3 linked regions of the Drosophila melanogaster genome follow. The protein of the gene in region 1 purifies or fractionates together with the protein of each later gene. This does not show direct contact. Each region holds a gene or a part of one and is shown in the gene's direction. Other genes may lie near its edges.

Region 1 (5,282 bases):
GATGGAAGAACTATAACTTGCAATTCAATTAACTCTGCAATACGATAACAAGCAAAGCGAATCATTTCATTTCGATTTAATCTTTAATTATATATACTTAAACGATGTAAGCCCAAAACAAACGTTTTTTCTATATCTGTCTTTTGAGCAAATTAGTTATACGCAAAACCAAACCGTATTTACATAAATGTATACAAAACAAATCGTATATTTTCATTGGTTTGAAATAAATACATAAAACAATTTAACTTGTTTTACTTGATATTTTAGGTGTCTGGGAATTGAAAGCTGCATTAAAATGTTTTGTCTGTTCTGCTTTGTAAAGATTATTTGTTTTTTCTATTACAAGTGTCTTAACCAAAGACATTTGGTTAACTTCTGAGAATCATAATTACTTATAAGTTAAATTCCAATTGGCAGTCTTATATATCAAACGTAAACTGACAGGAACGACGTAATGTTGTGCCTGCAGACAGGACAGCGGTCTTCTAAAAGGAGCACGAGCTGCAGGGAGCACTCTTTGCAGAGGCAGAGGTGCCGGCATGGCATGACTACTACGTTCCTGCTTTGAGCCATGCACACGACACAGCGTTCTGGACTCGCGGATCCTGCGTTCTCTGACACATACCAAACATTGTGTATGAAGTGTTGCAATTTATGATGGGTCCATAGGTAAACGCTTTGCGTCTTCGTCGAGATTTCAATGCGTCCACGTTGCAGCAGGTAGATGAGCATCAGGTACACATAGCGGCGGAACATATAGAGAACGAGGAGCAGGGCCAATCCTATCGAGGCCCGGAACGCACTGTTCAGCAAGCTCAAGCCATGGGCCACGATTGAGTGCACCACAAAGTCTAGGAGGCAGTCCCAGAGGAATAGTATGGCCCTCGGCAGCAGCATCAGCAGCCACAAGATGCCATCACCCAGATCGATGAGTAAGTTGCAGATGAATCGGGATATGCAGTGACCAAAATCGAGTACATTCTTGAGCCCGCCTTTGGTGCCGCCGTAGAAGTAGTCCGCCACATCTAGCGTGATGAGGCCCAAGTCGCGGATGCCCTCGTTGATATTCCTGACCGCGCATCTCAACAGATTCCATCCTTTCCTGCTGCCCTCCACCAAACAGAAGCCGACGAGGTAGCTGCCCCACAGGAAGTAGTACACGCCAGTAATCACTGCATCAATCACGCTGGCCAGCGGACGCAGCAGGACCAGATCCACAAGCTCCGCTGCCCGAATTAGAGCGTCCAGCATGGCGGGGGGCTCATACTGTCCTCGAATTAAGAAAAGGAAGAAACACAAAATCAAAACAAGAACGCCGGCCGCTTAGTGTGACCAGGCGGTGGTTGGTAATTAAAGCCAAGCTATCGTTGCGATAAGGTAGCGTCAAATAATTACTTATCTTAAATATTTGTATAATTAATATATATATTTATTTTTAACACCCCACACATTATCGGTTGCACTTCCTAGATATATTTAAACTTAGATGGTATCTGAACTTTAAATACGCCAAATTCTAGGGTAACTTAAATTAATAATGTTCAAACAAATATTTTGCTTCTGTGAGCAAAGGAATTACTAAGGAGACATAACAATTTGGATTTATTAATTTTGACAACTATAAATATGCGTAATAATTAATATGGGTATTCATGTACTGATCTATTATGATATTGCATGCTTCTTTCAAAGACAATGAAAGCTCAAAAATATAATTATACATCCGTGCATTTTGCTGGTATTTCAGAATCCAACAAGGTTTCCCCAAACAACTCGCGAGGGGTTATATAAGAAAGGCGAGCTTAAATCATAGCCCTATCTGAGCAGGAATCCCCCTAATGCGAATAATCCTATTATAAATTTATTTCCGGTTCTGCTAGGAAGTTCATTTCGGTTCTTTGTCTGCAGGTCGATTGTGTATAATAAAAAGCATTAATTAACTATTCGTACATGCAGTTGCGCCCTAGTACGTAGGGCTTTTTCTGCACTCGCTGCAATACCATACTTTTTGTTTTTGGGGATGAAACAGTAAAAAAGTTACTGTTGTAGCAGTTTTCCACCATTGAGAGGACATTTGCCAAGTAATTACTGTTTGAGTTTTGCTTTGCTCACAAAGCTCTGCTGCTAAATGAACTAAAATCGATTAAATCTTTAAATTTTCGCCAGAGTTCGCATCAAGCCCAAGCTTAGAAAGGTCCAAGTCCAAGATGGAGGAATCCAATCACGGTTCGGCTGGCTGTGAAAACGTATCGCAGTTCATGCTCGATGACCTACAATTGGCAGCAGAGCTGGGAAAAACGCTCCTGGAACGCAATAAGGAGCTGGAAACCTTCATCAAGGAGTACAAGATTAAGGGGGATGAGCAGGAACTGGAGATCTTGCATCTGCGCAAGCACATTAATGCGATGACCGAGGTGAATGATTCACGGCTTAAGGTCTACGAGCAGCTGGAAGTGGGCATTCAGGATCTGGAGCGTGCCAATCAGCGGCTAAATCTGGAGAAGAATCGGGACAAGAAGCAGATTAAGACGCTGACCACCAACACGGAAGTCCTGGAAGCCCGCTGCGAGGAACTGAGTCAACTTCTGAGCGATGCTCGGCAATCCCTGAGCACCGAGCGGCGGAAGGTGGATCAGTACCAGCAGGAACGCTATAGGATGCAGCATTCGACCGAGGGTTCTGTGTCCAGTCACAGCATTCAATCGCTGTGCAAGGAGCAGAGTGTTGAGTTCTCCAAACTAGATGTTATGGCCATAGCGAACTCGACAGGATTGGAGGATATCTCCTTCAGTAATGCCACCATGTGCGAGAGGACCGCCGTTAAGGGTGAAGACAACGAGGAATTGGTAAAGCTGCTCAGCGAAATGGAGGTGTTAAAACGTGACTTCTTGGCCGAACAGCAGCGGTGCACCGAGCTGGAGGAGCAGTTGGTGACCATAATCCAAGACAACCAAGGTCTGCAGACACGTCTGCTGGAGAACAGTGCCAATGAGGGAACAATGTCGATGCACGAGGAGTTCAGCCTCCTGGACGACGTGAGACAAGGCCAAATGTGTAGTCGCTGCCTGAGGGATATTAACGAAAGCAACACCAATATGGATGATCAATCCTCCATTGCCCCAACCGAAGAAATCTACGAAGATGACGATCGCAGCATACTAAGCGAAAGCACCTCGAAATGCGATAATAGTGGTGCGGATTATAAGGAACGCTTCCGGATTCCCGAGGACCTCAATCCCAACTCTAGCGACAAACCAAATCCTTATCGGGACCTAGTCGAGAAATATGAAGCTCTGGTGGAGGTGAAGAGAACCTCGAATGCGGTCAAGAGCAACTTCACCAGCAATCCAGATGGGAAGACCATGACCGAGTCCAGTCAAGGCAAAAAATCAGAAACAATTGTTAACAGCTCAAAGGAATCTGACCTTATGTTGGATTCAACACGTAAGCGCACTCCAACCGAGTTTTCGGAATCAGAAACTACATCGTCGGGATTCTCGGATGAAACTAGCAACAAGTCTACGCAAACTGACGAGCGACCGAGTTACTTCCTTTGCTCAATAAGTAATGGAAACGATTGTAAATTCAGTATTTATGACGACGTCAGCCCCATTGAATCTCATTTCCGTAATCGCCCGGAGTACAGGGAACTCTTCAAGGAGATATTTGGAGTGCTCAAGAAGGCAGCTGATAATAACGAAGAAGACAAGCTTCCGTCCCTGCATGACGACGCACAGATTACAGAAAAATTACCCTTGGTGGCGGCCAAAGTACCCCCGGTAACACCCGAGAGGGAGGAATCTCCAGATGACTTCATTGACGACACACAGAGCGTCGTATCCTCAGTTATATCCAACCAGTCCATTGCAATGTCCGAGTGCGTTACCAAACTGGAGCGGAAGACAGCCAAAAAACACATCTTTGATGTCCGAAACCAACAAAACCAATCGTCCCTAACGCAATCCACTTTGTTAAACAGCTCCTCGAAGGAAACAACTGTCGGCGAACCGAATTATAAACCCATAAGGGAGAATGGCCAGATACTTACTCCACTCAAGCGCGAACCACTCGAATATCTAACCGTAGGTGTCGGAATCAAGAAGAAGAACCGACGAAAGCACCGAAACCAAAGCTCATCTGGAGATCGCATCGAATTGTTTAACTCCCGGGAATTTACTCCCAGGAACAGTCCTCTGGCCATGAACAACCGTGGTGGTGGACAAGGGAGCTCAAAGATGTGTACGGATACATTGAATGCTGAATTCGGACGCAGTAACCGCAGACGGACAACTCCATCCTCAAGCAACTGGAATGGCTCTCCCATGGTGATCTATAACAAGAATATGAATACTCCCCAAACTTCTCGGGGCCGAGTAATAGAGCTCAATGGCGTCGAGTTTTATCATAACACGGTATCGCAAGACTTACATAAACTTAAAAAGTTAGACTTATCCTACGCCGAAGTTTTGCGCCGGGCCGATGCCGGCGAACATGGACCCACAAGATCACATTCCCAGCGACAGCAACACAACGGAGCCAACATTCGCAAGAGTCATCATCATCAGTTTCGTCAAAAGTAAACTTGTTTAGAGAATGTAAATAAGCAATTAAACAGTGCATTCTAGCCATAGGGCATTCTACCATTTTTAAATTGTGTGTGCCATGCAGTCTAGTCCGCTTTTTCATGTATAGACAGTTAAATAACAATAACTAAATAACTATAATCGGAAATTTAATTTTATTTCAGCATGATAAAATAAATAATTTAATGACCTACAGAAATCTTACTCTTTCACGATATTCAGCCAAGTTTCAATAGGAATATATGTAGTTGCTTTACAAATTCAGATATAAAAAAGTAAACATTTATTGTTAACTTACAAAGTAAAGGCAAATAAAATATTCTTGCACTTTCATGATATGCCCGTCTAACTACTTTCCAGACTTCCGTTGGTAATGCCCAGTTTGCTAAGCAAACTTATTATATCGCTGTTCGTTCTCATGACAGCCATAACTTCCTGTTGCTGCTGCTGCATGACCCTTAGCCGATTCCGCTCCTCTATCTTGGCCAGCTGATTATTGTTGTTTATGGTCTTTGTGTCCACATCCAGCTTCAGCTCCGACTTAACGTGATACAACTCATCGCGTATTCCGTTCAACTTTCTTTCGCAATCGCGCACGTCCTTCTCCAAAATTTGAGTTTTAAGGTAGACGGTCTGAGCCAACTTATACCAGTCCGCCAGGCACTCTGCGATTTGTGCCACTGTCGGATTTACGTT
Region 2 (3,665 bases), on another chromosome or scaffold:
ACTTTCCAAAGAGTCTGCTTTGCCCAATTGGCTAGATATTTGCGCAATAATCTCATTGCGAGAGATCGGCTCAATGACCGACTCATCCAGACTAATGTTTATCTCCATGCTCGACTCATGGTTCTGGGCCTCGAAGTATTCTCCAAAGGTGTCCAGCAGATTGAGTTTGGACAAGTCCGGACTTGAGAAGCTATTACGCTGAGACTTGTTCAACTGGGATGTGCGCTTTACCGGAAGCACAGGCTCCGGCGTGGGGGCATTCTCATACAGTGGCAGGACCTCATCGCTGGGTTCATTGGCCACCTCGCTGGTGCTGCCGGAACGCTTTTGACGTGAACTCCCGAACAGGTTGTCCAGCATGTTCTTGTATTTCTTCTTCTTGGCCAGCTCCGATTCGGGATTGGTGCTGGACCGCGCAATCTCGCCAAGCTGGGCGCACTCAAAAGTGTTTATTCGCTGACGGTAAGGATGTGCGGGCAGCGGTGGCGGTGAAGGAGTCTCCATGACTGACGGCTTCATCTCTTCGTAAATGCCGGATGCGATTGAGACGCGGGAGATGCGGCTGCCGTCAAAAATCTCCTCGTATATTTGCGAGACTCGCGGAGAGAGAGCGCTAGCGTCGAGGGTTTCCGGCAGGTTAGGCAGTGGGCCCAGACCTCCGGGACCCCTGCTCAGCCGGCGCTGTTCTAGAAAGACCTGGCGATAAAGTTCCAGATTCTTAATCGACTTCCGCATCCATTTCATGTGACGTCGGCAGGATGTCTCCGTTTCCAGGGCGAAATAGATGAAGCAGTCCCGCCGATTTTGCGTCCAAAACAGCCCGTACGAGTGCTGCTTCGTGCGCGAGGTAGCCAGGCTCAAGCTGACGCCCGGAACGTTTACGGAGACGCTAATGGGTTTAGCGGGGTGACACTCTTGGGAGTGAGACTCGGTCTCCATGGCCTGGAAACTGAGCCGCAGGAAGCAGGGCACACACTTAATGGCCTCTATTTTCACTTGGCAGCGGGTCCATGTCTTGTAACGCAGCGCCACTGGTCGCTTATCGTGTGTATCCAGCTTGGCGTCCATAGTCATGGAGATTTCGTTGTGGTCCATCTTGGGGCTACTGCTACGTGGTGGGGCGGATGGAGGTGCGGTGAATGAGTTGCGAGTGAAAAATAAAAAAGTAAACGATCTATATCCGCTACTTCGAGAATTACATCTTTTTTGCGACTGGGTGGAGCTCTTATCGGCTATTCTCTTATCGCACGTTTATCCTTCGTGTCCTCGTGACGTGACTGGCGTTGCCACCTGGCGGAATATCACAGAAATCGCGTTTCTAGAAGACCAACAAATGAATTTATAACTTCAATATACATCAATCAAACTTAAGGTGCTCAGCCTAAGCTACACAGCTCTTTTAAGTTCTTTATTTATACTTTTAAATGCTAAATGCTTACATGTTATTTGGACATCTTGAGTACTAGCTTAATAAGAAGGTAGTATCCAAGCAATTCTTATTTATAATCTCTTAACTAATTTACACAATCTTTTAAATTATTTTCAAGATCCATAACCAGGTCTAAAACCAAACAAATAAAAACTAAAATCCTATTTATACTTCGCTTTATAGCTATTTTAATATTTATTATTAAAAAACGCTAATGATGTTTTCAAAAATGTTAGGCATTTCCTTTTAGTATTTAAAATTCTACATCCGACATTGGGGTATATTTGACTTCTACTTGGCTGAGTATGAATTATGATTTGCAAAAGAAGTAAAAATTTAACTTTAAAATTAGGTATCTGTCTAACTGTTTTTGTCGTTTAAAACACAGGGTAGGTATGGTTTTCTTTCAATTTAAAAACATCGCTAGAAAACTGTTTCCAAAAAGTAAGCTGCATTTTTTGTTTTTAGTTTTGCTTTATACAGAAATTTTAATACTATACTTTTTTGATAAGCATCCACCAGCAAGAATACAGCAAGCTTTTATTTAATATTTTATTAACATAATTATTTAATATGAATGATTGGTAATATTTTGAAGTACTCTACTACATAGCAGTCGTAGGATTTGTTATTTTTCACATTATTTTTGTAGGTTTGTAATTATATTTTAAGGGATATCTTAATTTTACATTCCTAAAATAATTTGGTAACTTTTTGCGATAGTCGTGACACGAAATCGAGGGATGAAATTGCATGTGATGCAGCCCCTTGAGCAAACAGTGTTGGACAACAGCGCGCGGCATCGGCATTTTTTGGCGGCCATTACAACGAATGGAAAACTGTGAAGCGTTGCGCACAAATTAATGCATAAACAACAGACAAGCAAGTAGCACACGCTCTGCCGCCTGACAACCAAACCCACCGAAAGCACAATACACATCTCCGAAGATGTCTTCGAGCGCTGCCAGGGTCTACATCCAAGTCGAGACAGAGGCCGAGCAGAAGGAGCACCTGAAGCAGCAGAGACAGACCCTGAAACCCTTGCAGGGCAACGTAAACGATAAGGAGAACCTCACTGGTTCAGGGCGCGCCTCCATCGTGGATCAGCTGAGTCGTCTGAAGGCCGGCGTCCAAGTCGCGCCCAAGTACGGCAAGCGCAAATGCGTGGACACGGCGCCCGCGATTTCCACAAAGGATGCGGATACCCAGACTGATGCTGAGGCCGTTCCGCTTGGCAATGCTGACAAGCCCATCACGGCAGAGGATCTCACTAGCACAGCCGAACCCGGCGAGAACTACTACAAGCTGCTGGCCGAGCAGCGGCGACTGGCGCTGGAGGACTCGCTCACCGAAAACCGCCATCTGCACGAGCGCATCGAGGGGCTTGAGGAGGAGATGGACACTATGCGCCAGGAACTGGACGAGGCCAAGAATTTGGTGGAGGTCCTGAAGGAGATCTGCGAAGAGGACAACAGCGAGGTGGAGGAGGACGACACTACGGGTGACGAGGACAAGGTCAACGCCTAGGCTACACACCAATCACACGTTTTTTTTAGTCTAAGGTTTTACATTTAGTTGTAGTTAAATATCGCGTTTATATCCCTGTTCGTCGTCAGCCAACACAACGGCTGGTCTAATTGTACGCCAGCAATATATTTACTTGTTACACGCCAGTTATAATCCTAATAAAGTTTTACATTTGCACAATTGCACACAATATTTAATTCGTATTCCTGTATTTTATGTGCAACTTATATAAACCATTTCGCATCCATATGCTAGTTTAGATATGCTCTTTTCCTTTCATTAATTCTACATCAAAACAAATGTGTTTATTAGCTTACATCAATGCGGATGGATTTCAATGTGTGGGGAGCTAACGCAAAAATAAAATACTCAAGGTACAACATATTTTTGAGACAAATATTTATTGGATGTAAAACTGTGAACTGCTACTTAAGCCAATCTGTAATAACTTCCTCGCTGTGGAAGTTATCCACGTCAAACTGCAATAAAGGAAGAGAAAAAGGTAAGTTTGGGAAGAGATACAAAGAACTAGTAACTCACCACAACGCACTCTTCGTAGGTGGGTACGGTGCCCACGATGTCTACATCGTTTACCACAGCGTTTATGTAAGCGGCATCTGCCTCGGCTGCCGCTATCAACACCGCAGTCTCGGAATCATCGGTCTCAGCGACGTGTGCAGCATCAGTTGAGGTGGCGGGATTCTCCTGC
Region 3 (7,555 bases), 1.9 Mb from region 1:
TCTATCTGGCCTCTCTCCGTATGAACGTCGAGATCCCAGGAATTTTAAAAAGCTAGAACACAGAAAAAGACGCAGCGCAAGTTGGTTGACCCATGTTGCCACGCACACAAACCTGCCAGCCCCACTCTAACGCCCTAAAACCTCCCAAAAATGCCGCGCAAAACACACATTTTTAAACCTTTTTTCGATATTTTTTTCATAATTCTATTAGTCGCTAAAATTTATATCGATATGCCAAAAACTTTTTACACGCCTACTCTAACGACCAAAAGCCGTCAACCCGGTCACGCCCACAATTTTGAACAATTTGTAAACTTTAACCGTTGCATGCTCTAAAGGTTAAAGTATTGCCTTCAAATCCTCGAAAATGAATATTTTATTCGATATTTACGGCAATAACCAACCCTTTGAGAGTGTTCAGTCAAAGACACTACAATAATTCTTTATTATTCTAGAGACTTTGGTTCAGTAGAACAGTTGCGATAGCAACCTTTGTAATCAAAAATCGTTTCAGCAGGTAAAACGCGCCATTCCAACTGGATTTTCTATACATATATATTTTATTTTCTATAACCTATTTCTATTGTTTCAAACTATATGGGCGTTCATCAATTACTGTGCGGATTAAGTTTGCAATGTTTTCAGAAAAATAAGTTGTTTCGTCGAAATCCGAATCCGCGCAAGTCTGAGCCAATGTAGTAGCGTAGAGCACTTGTTTTCGATTCGTCAACGTTTCATTATTTTGTCAATAAATGACAGAATTGACTGCTGTTGCCTTTGTGGCAATTCACTGACTGTTAAATTAATATGTATCCTCATTACGTGGCAAGACAAGTTAGTATTATTCGCACTTGTTTGGTGTCTTGCCCCACTTAATACATTTGTCTGTCTTGCCATTAGCCGATTAGCTTAGCAAGATCTTTCCCTGCAAATGGTGATGGGTAAAACAGAAAAATCTAACATCGATGTCCGAAAATTTCGATGTTTCCGATTTTTTTTTAAATATCTATGTAGCGCTATCTCCGATGTTTCTTCCAGCTCTATTTTGTAGTTTGCGAGATCACAGCCTTCAGTCAGACAGACCGGACCTGATCGAATAGTGTTTATGATCAGGAGTACACTATACTTTAAGGTTCGGAAACACATTTTTATGCCGACTACAAACATACCCTTAACCTTTCTAGCATACGACATTGCTCTAAAACATTTTAAAATTCCGAAATCTCCTTTCTTATTATAACAATTTTAGAAAATTATTTGTTTCTTTTTATTGGAAATGTAATTGCAGAACATTTGTATGCCGACTACAAACATACTCTTAACCTTTCTAGCATACGACATTGCTCTAAAACATTTTAAAATTCTTAAATCTTATTTCTTATAAAAATTTTAGAAAATTATTGTTTGTATTTATTGGAAATGAAATTGCAGAATGGAATGGTTCTATCGTTGCATGTCAACATAGAAACTGGTATATGGTATATAAACTGGTATATTGTATATTATTATATACAATAATGCTTAGCGCTTTTTTCATCGTTCCGTGTTCATCACCAGTTGATTGTCGCTATTTTGACGGAAATATTTTAAGTATGCACACAAATTTACCGCGAAACCAGGTGTTTTTGTACAACAATTGTTCAAAGTTAAAGAAAACTAAAAAACACGGGTAGAAGGTTGCAACAATTAATACAGGAAAATTACAAAATTCCAAGGTAAGCCAAGCGTGCATTGTAAAATAAAGGTAAAAACGTTGCGCAATATCAAACATTTATATTATTGCGAATTTAATGTTCTTGAACTTAAGCGGTCCTCCCCGTACCATATAATTTATTTTTAAATCAAAAAAGTAAACAATTTCCAACCGTTCCAAACATTTTTAATGCCTGGTTTAAGTTGTCGTAATTAATCGGCACATCCTTAACTCGAAAATTGCTTAATTCATAAGAATGACCAACTAATGGCATAGTTTTTTGTTTACAATAATTCTTGAAAACATTGCTATTGAACGTACATATTTTTGTATCAAATGCAAATTCATTCTGTATGTATGTATGTATGTATGTATGCATTTACATATGTGTGTATATCTTATGTGGTCGGAAACCTTTTCAAATTTTCATCGGGAAAAGACAAATTTTATAGTTACATTAAATTAAAGCAGGCCTTTAAAATTTGGATTCATTGTCAATGTTTCGGCTAGTCGGATTTGTCAAACAGCAGCCACTCGTGTATTACTAATTACTAACTTGTTAATCCGCTTTTGTTCTCGTATCCCCAAAGGTTTGTTTGGATGTAAAGTAATGGTCTTGGTGTGCAATGAGTGGTTAAAAAATAATGTTGATGAAGACCAGACGTCAAGTTCATTATCGCCGACGCCAGCATCAGGAGCAGTCGGATCAACGGCATTAAACAGAACTGGCACAACCGACACGGCCACGGAATTACCTCAGACGACCAGATATCCATCCGGGGAAGAACCTGCTGTGAAGCCAGAGGAGGCGCAATACGCTTTAAACATGGAAACTGAAAAAAATTTGGAGCAGGACAATTTCTTTCATATAATGGACATAAAAGAAGATATGGCTGATAGTAACAACGAGGCGTCCACGAAGAACCAGGAAAATAATAATATGGAACTTTGTGATTCCAACACAGTATGTATTGACCGACGTCCGGCTGAAGTTTCCCAGCATGCTATGAATATGGCCATGAACTCTGTGCTGAATGCAAATAACACCGGGGTTGGAGTTCGAGTAACTACTGCCTGCAGTCTGTTTAGCCCACTAGGAGTACTAAACAATAGTGCTTTACAAAGGGAGGTGGCATCGGAATGCGGCACTTTACAAGTCTCTTCAGTGCCCCCAACTTCTGGCGTAGATCTAGACATAGGATTGGAGTCTGCCCCAACGCCATGTAAGGGTGCAGCAAAAATCGTACTCCTATGTGAACCAAAGTCGCACAAGTTTGAAACGAGATCTATATTGCTGCAGCCCAACCAGGATTGCAAGGTGGGCCGCCTTATAGCTAAAAGTAAGGCGGGTGAGGGGAACGCTATATTTGACTGTAAAGTATTGTCAAGAAACCATGCGATTTTGTGGTACACTCCAGACGGTAAATTCTGGGTCAAAGACACAAAATCCAGCAACGGTACCTTTATTAACGACAACAAGTTGGGTAGTGATCCAGCGGAACTACATTATGGCGATATTGTGAAGTTCGGCGTTGAGGTAATTGAGAATTCACGTCAGGAGGTACACGGGTGTATCCTGGCCCGTGTCGCCCTCTTTCTACCCAATGGACAAGAGGCCATTTCAGTTGAGGCAGAGCAGATGATGTTGACTGTGCCTAACCGAATCAGCTTTGATGAAGTGCAGCGCCTAAGCTCGTTCCTCCAAGAGGCTGCACAAAGGGAAAAATCTCTGAAAGCTAAATTAAGCAGCTTGCAAGGCGTCCTTGATAACACCAGAAAGAACTCTGCGATGTGTTGGCAAAGCATGATCACTGAAGACCAATTGCTTCACAAGATAAATATTCTGGAAAAGAAACTGCAAATGATGGAAAAGAACATTCCAGAGAATGCACTGCGAAACGAGGTAAGTCCCATTAGCGACCGATTAAAAAATTAAGCCTTTGTTTATTTTTTACAATTTTATCCTGTGATCCTGGACAACTATGAAAGCAAGAATACTGGTATTAAGCATGAAACTAAGCAAAACCTCAAAAACCTTTCACACGAACAATTAAAAAAGTTTGTTCATAAATACGTACACACCTTTCCGTTAGCCTGTATAACGGAATCTCTAAAAAACCATTTTTGCACACTTGTGTTTTCCTTTTAATTTAAAGATTTCAATATGCAAATTTTTAATAAATCTGTTTCCCAAACCGGACAAGATAAAATAAATTGAACCAAATCTTATAATGAATTGTCTTAACTACAAACATAATCAAAATGTTTAATGCACAAAAATTAAGCAAATCTGAATCTAAGCAATTTAATTCGGTCCCATCAAATTATATCTAGTGGTTGTGCCTTTAAAACAAAGCAGTATATAATGGCTTTAGAGTTTCATTTTGTTATTCATTCATTGATTCCTTCATTTTTATTATTTGAATACGCATTAATTATAATCATTTGTATAAGGTGTATTGTATTTTAATTGTGAGCAAATGGTATTTTGGTGCCACCGATTGGTGCCAGTGGAGTAATTTGTTATACATATTTTGTAAACGTTACTTTTTATTTGTTTCTAATTTTTAGGTTAAAGTATATTTTCTCTTTTTTTCTCAGTTTTTATATAACAGAAAAAATAAATCCTTAAACAAATTGTGCTTTGCTGACCCAATCCTCACATTTGATACGAACAGATCATTGCTATTATTTTTGTACAAAATAAGGGACTCCTATTTGATACCAAAAGCTGTTTCCCACCCCACACTTTCTAATTTACAGAATTAAAAGAGTTATATTCTAATGTATATACAGTTTGTCAAGAAACTGTTTACACACTGTGAAATAAGTTGAATTTTTGACTTTAAAGCTAAAAATAAAGGGTTTTTTGCTTAATTAAACGCAATTTTTTTATAAAATATAATTAAACAATATTTATTTTACTTATAAATCAAAAAACAAATTAAAAATATTAAATATACAAGAAAATAAACAACAAATTCCAAGTTTACACACTTTTGAGACTGTCAAGAAACTCTTTACACATTTTGTTTTCCTACTTTGTTTTGTTCTTTTTCTTAGAACGAACTCGATTTTTCCGTTATTTTTGGCTTTGCATTGCTTTTTACAACGCTTCTATTGAAATTTTGTTGACTTTGCTTGTGAAATTTTGCTGATCAAACGTGCTTAAAGCGAATTATTAAATTTAATAAAATGCCTGGAAAGAGATTAACTTTTAAAGTTACCCAATTAATAAACTATAACCACCAGTTGGGAAAATCTTTTCCAGAATTAGTATAAATGTTTCCTGTATCCCGTAAGACCGTCTACAATGTTTTAAAAGGCTCGGAAAAAGAGGGCAGGCTTGAACCTAAGAGTGGTGGTGGGCGGAAAATTAAAATTAAAAAGCGTGTAGACCGCTTTATTATGCGAATAGTGATTGCGAACCCCCGAATCTCGGTCAGATCACTTGCTCTGGATATCAGGCAAGAATGTCACCTAGCTGTGTCACACGAAACTGTGCTCCAAGTCATCCTACGCCATAGGTACTCTTCAAGAGTTGCAAGGAAAAACCCTTTGCTGTCAGATGCCAATATTGAAAAGCGTCATTTATTCGCTGTGAGCATGATAGATCATGCGGAAGAGTACTGGGATGACGTCATATTTGGTGACGAAACAAAAATGATGCTCTTTTATAACGACGGGCCAAGCAGAGTATGGCGCAAACCGTTGAGTGCGCTAGAAAAACAAAATATCATTCCAACGATAAAATTTGGAAAAATGTCACTGATGGTGTGGGGCTGTATCACCAGCCGTGGAGTGGGAAAACTAGCCTTAATTGAGAGCACAATAAATGCCGTGCAATATCTAGAAATGTTAGAAAACAAATTTGAAGGCCAGTGTAGAAAAAATTAGTCTGGTTAGCAACAACAAGCCAAATTTTAAGTTTTACCAAGACATGATCAGAAACATAAAGAGTGCAATGTACGCACCTGGCGCCTTAATAACTGTGGTAAAGTGATCGATACGCCCCCTCAGAGTCCTGATCTGAACCCCATTGAAAATTTGTGGACCTACTTAAAGAAGAAGGTGGCAAAAAGGGACCTAAAACACAACAACAGCTTATGACTGTAATAGTCGAAGAGTGTGAAAAGATCCCGTTTGAATATGACCTGCAAAAACTTGTCCAATCCATGAAAAAAAGGCTTCAACTTGTAGCTAAAGCCAATGGGGAACATACTACATACCAAAACTTTTAAAATTTTAATAAAATAATTAAAAAATTTAGGATTAAACTTCGATTTAGTGTTTTGTGTAAAGAGTTTCTTGACAGTCTCAAAAGTGTGTAAACTTGGAATTTGTTGTTTATTTTCTTGTATATTTAATATTTTTAATTTGTTTTTTGATTTATAAGTAAAATAAATATTGTTTAATAATATTTTATAAAAAAATTGCGTTTAATTAAGCAAAAAACCCTTTATTTTTAGCTTTAAAGTCAAAAAGTCAACTTATTTTACAGTGTGTAAACAGTTTCTTGACAAACTGTACATACATGTGCTCTAGGGCTCTAAAACAAAGAACTCATACAGAACGGTAAAAATACAGATAGGCAAGCAAATTGAGACCATACGAATATGCGATTTTAAACTTGTGCGTGAAATAAGACAAAACAACAAAAAGGTACCGAATACAGGAAATATTCTATAGCTCGAAAATTCAACCTTTTAGCTTTTTGAAAGAAATTAATATACCCTTATAAATGGGTTTAAAAAACTCGAAGAGGACCTTTTTCCGACTTAATGGTCAGTAGCTCCTTTGAATATTAAAATTTTGTCTGCAAAAAATTTTAAGTATATTTTGGTAAAATTTGATTTTTTTTTTTTAATATTTCTCTCTTTGTCTTCAATAGATTGTAAAGCTTCTTGAGGACAAAACAACGTACCAGTTGACTGCCAAAGAGGCCCTGCGGAAGGTCTACCAGGAACGCTGCGATGCTATGCAAATGCTCTCTAAGATGGAGATGGCCTACGCCACTTCTGAAAACGAGTGCGGCATACTTCGCGCTCAAGTTCTAACACTAAAGCAGACGCTGACTGATTTCAATACCCGGTTAGAGGAACTTCAGCAGGAGTACATGGAATTCAAGAAGGAGTCAGTGCGCCAAGAACAAGAGGCTAAAGAGCAAGAATCACGCAGCTTAGAGGTGCTAAATGGAAAGCTGACGACGCAGGAGCTCGAGCTTAAGGAGCTTCGTCTGCAGGTCTCGCGAATCCATCGCGATTTATCTGAGTCTGATACTGAACATTTGAAGGAGCGAATTGTCTTAAAAAACTTAGATACAATAAATCTTGACGATTATGACCACGCTCAAGATAGAGCGCTAAATGAAAGGGATGATAATGAAAGTTCTGACGATGATATTTTGTCTGTGTCACCAGCTAAAAATGTGTTGTCTGAAACGAAAAAAAGGGTAATGCTTATAGCAGTCTTAATGCTATTATATATTAATATATTCCTATTTAATTCTAGAAGCTAAAACTAAGTAATCCCGATTTAGAAGAAGGCAATTATAAATCGAACGTCTTAAGATTGCTAAAGAACTCCGATCTTGGCAAGGGAGAAGAAGGATCTTCAGTGCTTAAAGCTATTTTTAATGGTGACGATGAAGCCTTTGAATGCAAAGTTAAGGAGGAGGAGGATATGGCAAACGATTCAGTTCCAACAGAGTTCGTTAGCAGAAATACATCCGAAATCGTGGATCACTTTAAAAACCATTCTTCAACTACACATACAATTTTAGAGGATTCGGCTGCAACGAAATTGTCAGCCCCTAATGCGGAAAGTAAGGAAAAGCTTGTAGACGTTGAGGAAAATCTTAAT

The links. Proteins that work in one complex are often made in the same cells at the same time.
Region 2: the proteins of Cen (region 1) and geminin purify together in Drosophila melanogaster (affinity purification with mass spectrometry, with the first as the bait; one large-scale study listed by BioGRID). This does not show direct contact.
Region 3: the proteins of Cen (region 1) and Slmap purify together in Drosophila melanogaster (affinity purification with mass spectrometry, with the first as the bait; one large-scale study listed by BioGRID). This does not show direct contact.

What each region holds. Positions count from the first base shown.
Region 1 is NT_033779.5:20,678,421-20,683,702, reverse strand, and holds Cen (centrocortin), read left to right. Parts: upstream 1-1,856; 5' UTR 1,857-2,084; exon of another isoform or gene 2,085-2,169; 5' UTR 2,170-2,210; coding exon 2,211-4,583; 3' UTR 4,584-4,782; downstream 4,783-5,282. Other genes in the region: CG2617 (uncharacterized protein), read right to left, coding at 430-1,254; IKKepsilon (I-kappaB kinase epsilon), read right to left, coding at 4,932-5,282.
Region 2 is NT_033778.4:6,654,942-6,658,606, reverse strand, and holds geminin (geminin), read left to right. Parts: upstream 1-2,012; 5' UTR 2,013-2,081; intron 2,082-2,152; 5' UTR 2,153-2,377; coding exon 2,378-2,956; 3' UTR 2,957-3,144; downstream 3,145-3,665. Other genes in the region: sced (scrambled), read right to left, coding at 1-1,095; Opbp (Optix-binding protein), read right to left, coding at 3,382-3,435, 3,497-3,665.
Region 3 is NT_033779.5:22,577,538-22,585,092, forward strand, and holds the start of Slmap (sarcolemma associated protein), read left to right. Parts: upstream 1-1,534; 5' UTR 1,535-1,715; intron 1,716-2,212; exon of another isoform or gene 2,213-2,283; 5' UTR 2,284-2,303; coding exon 2,304-3,596; intron 3,597-6,584; coding exon 6,585-7,145; intron 7,146-7,204; coding exon 7,205-7,555.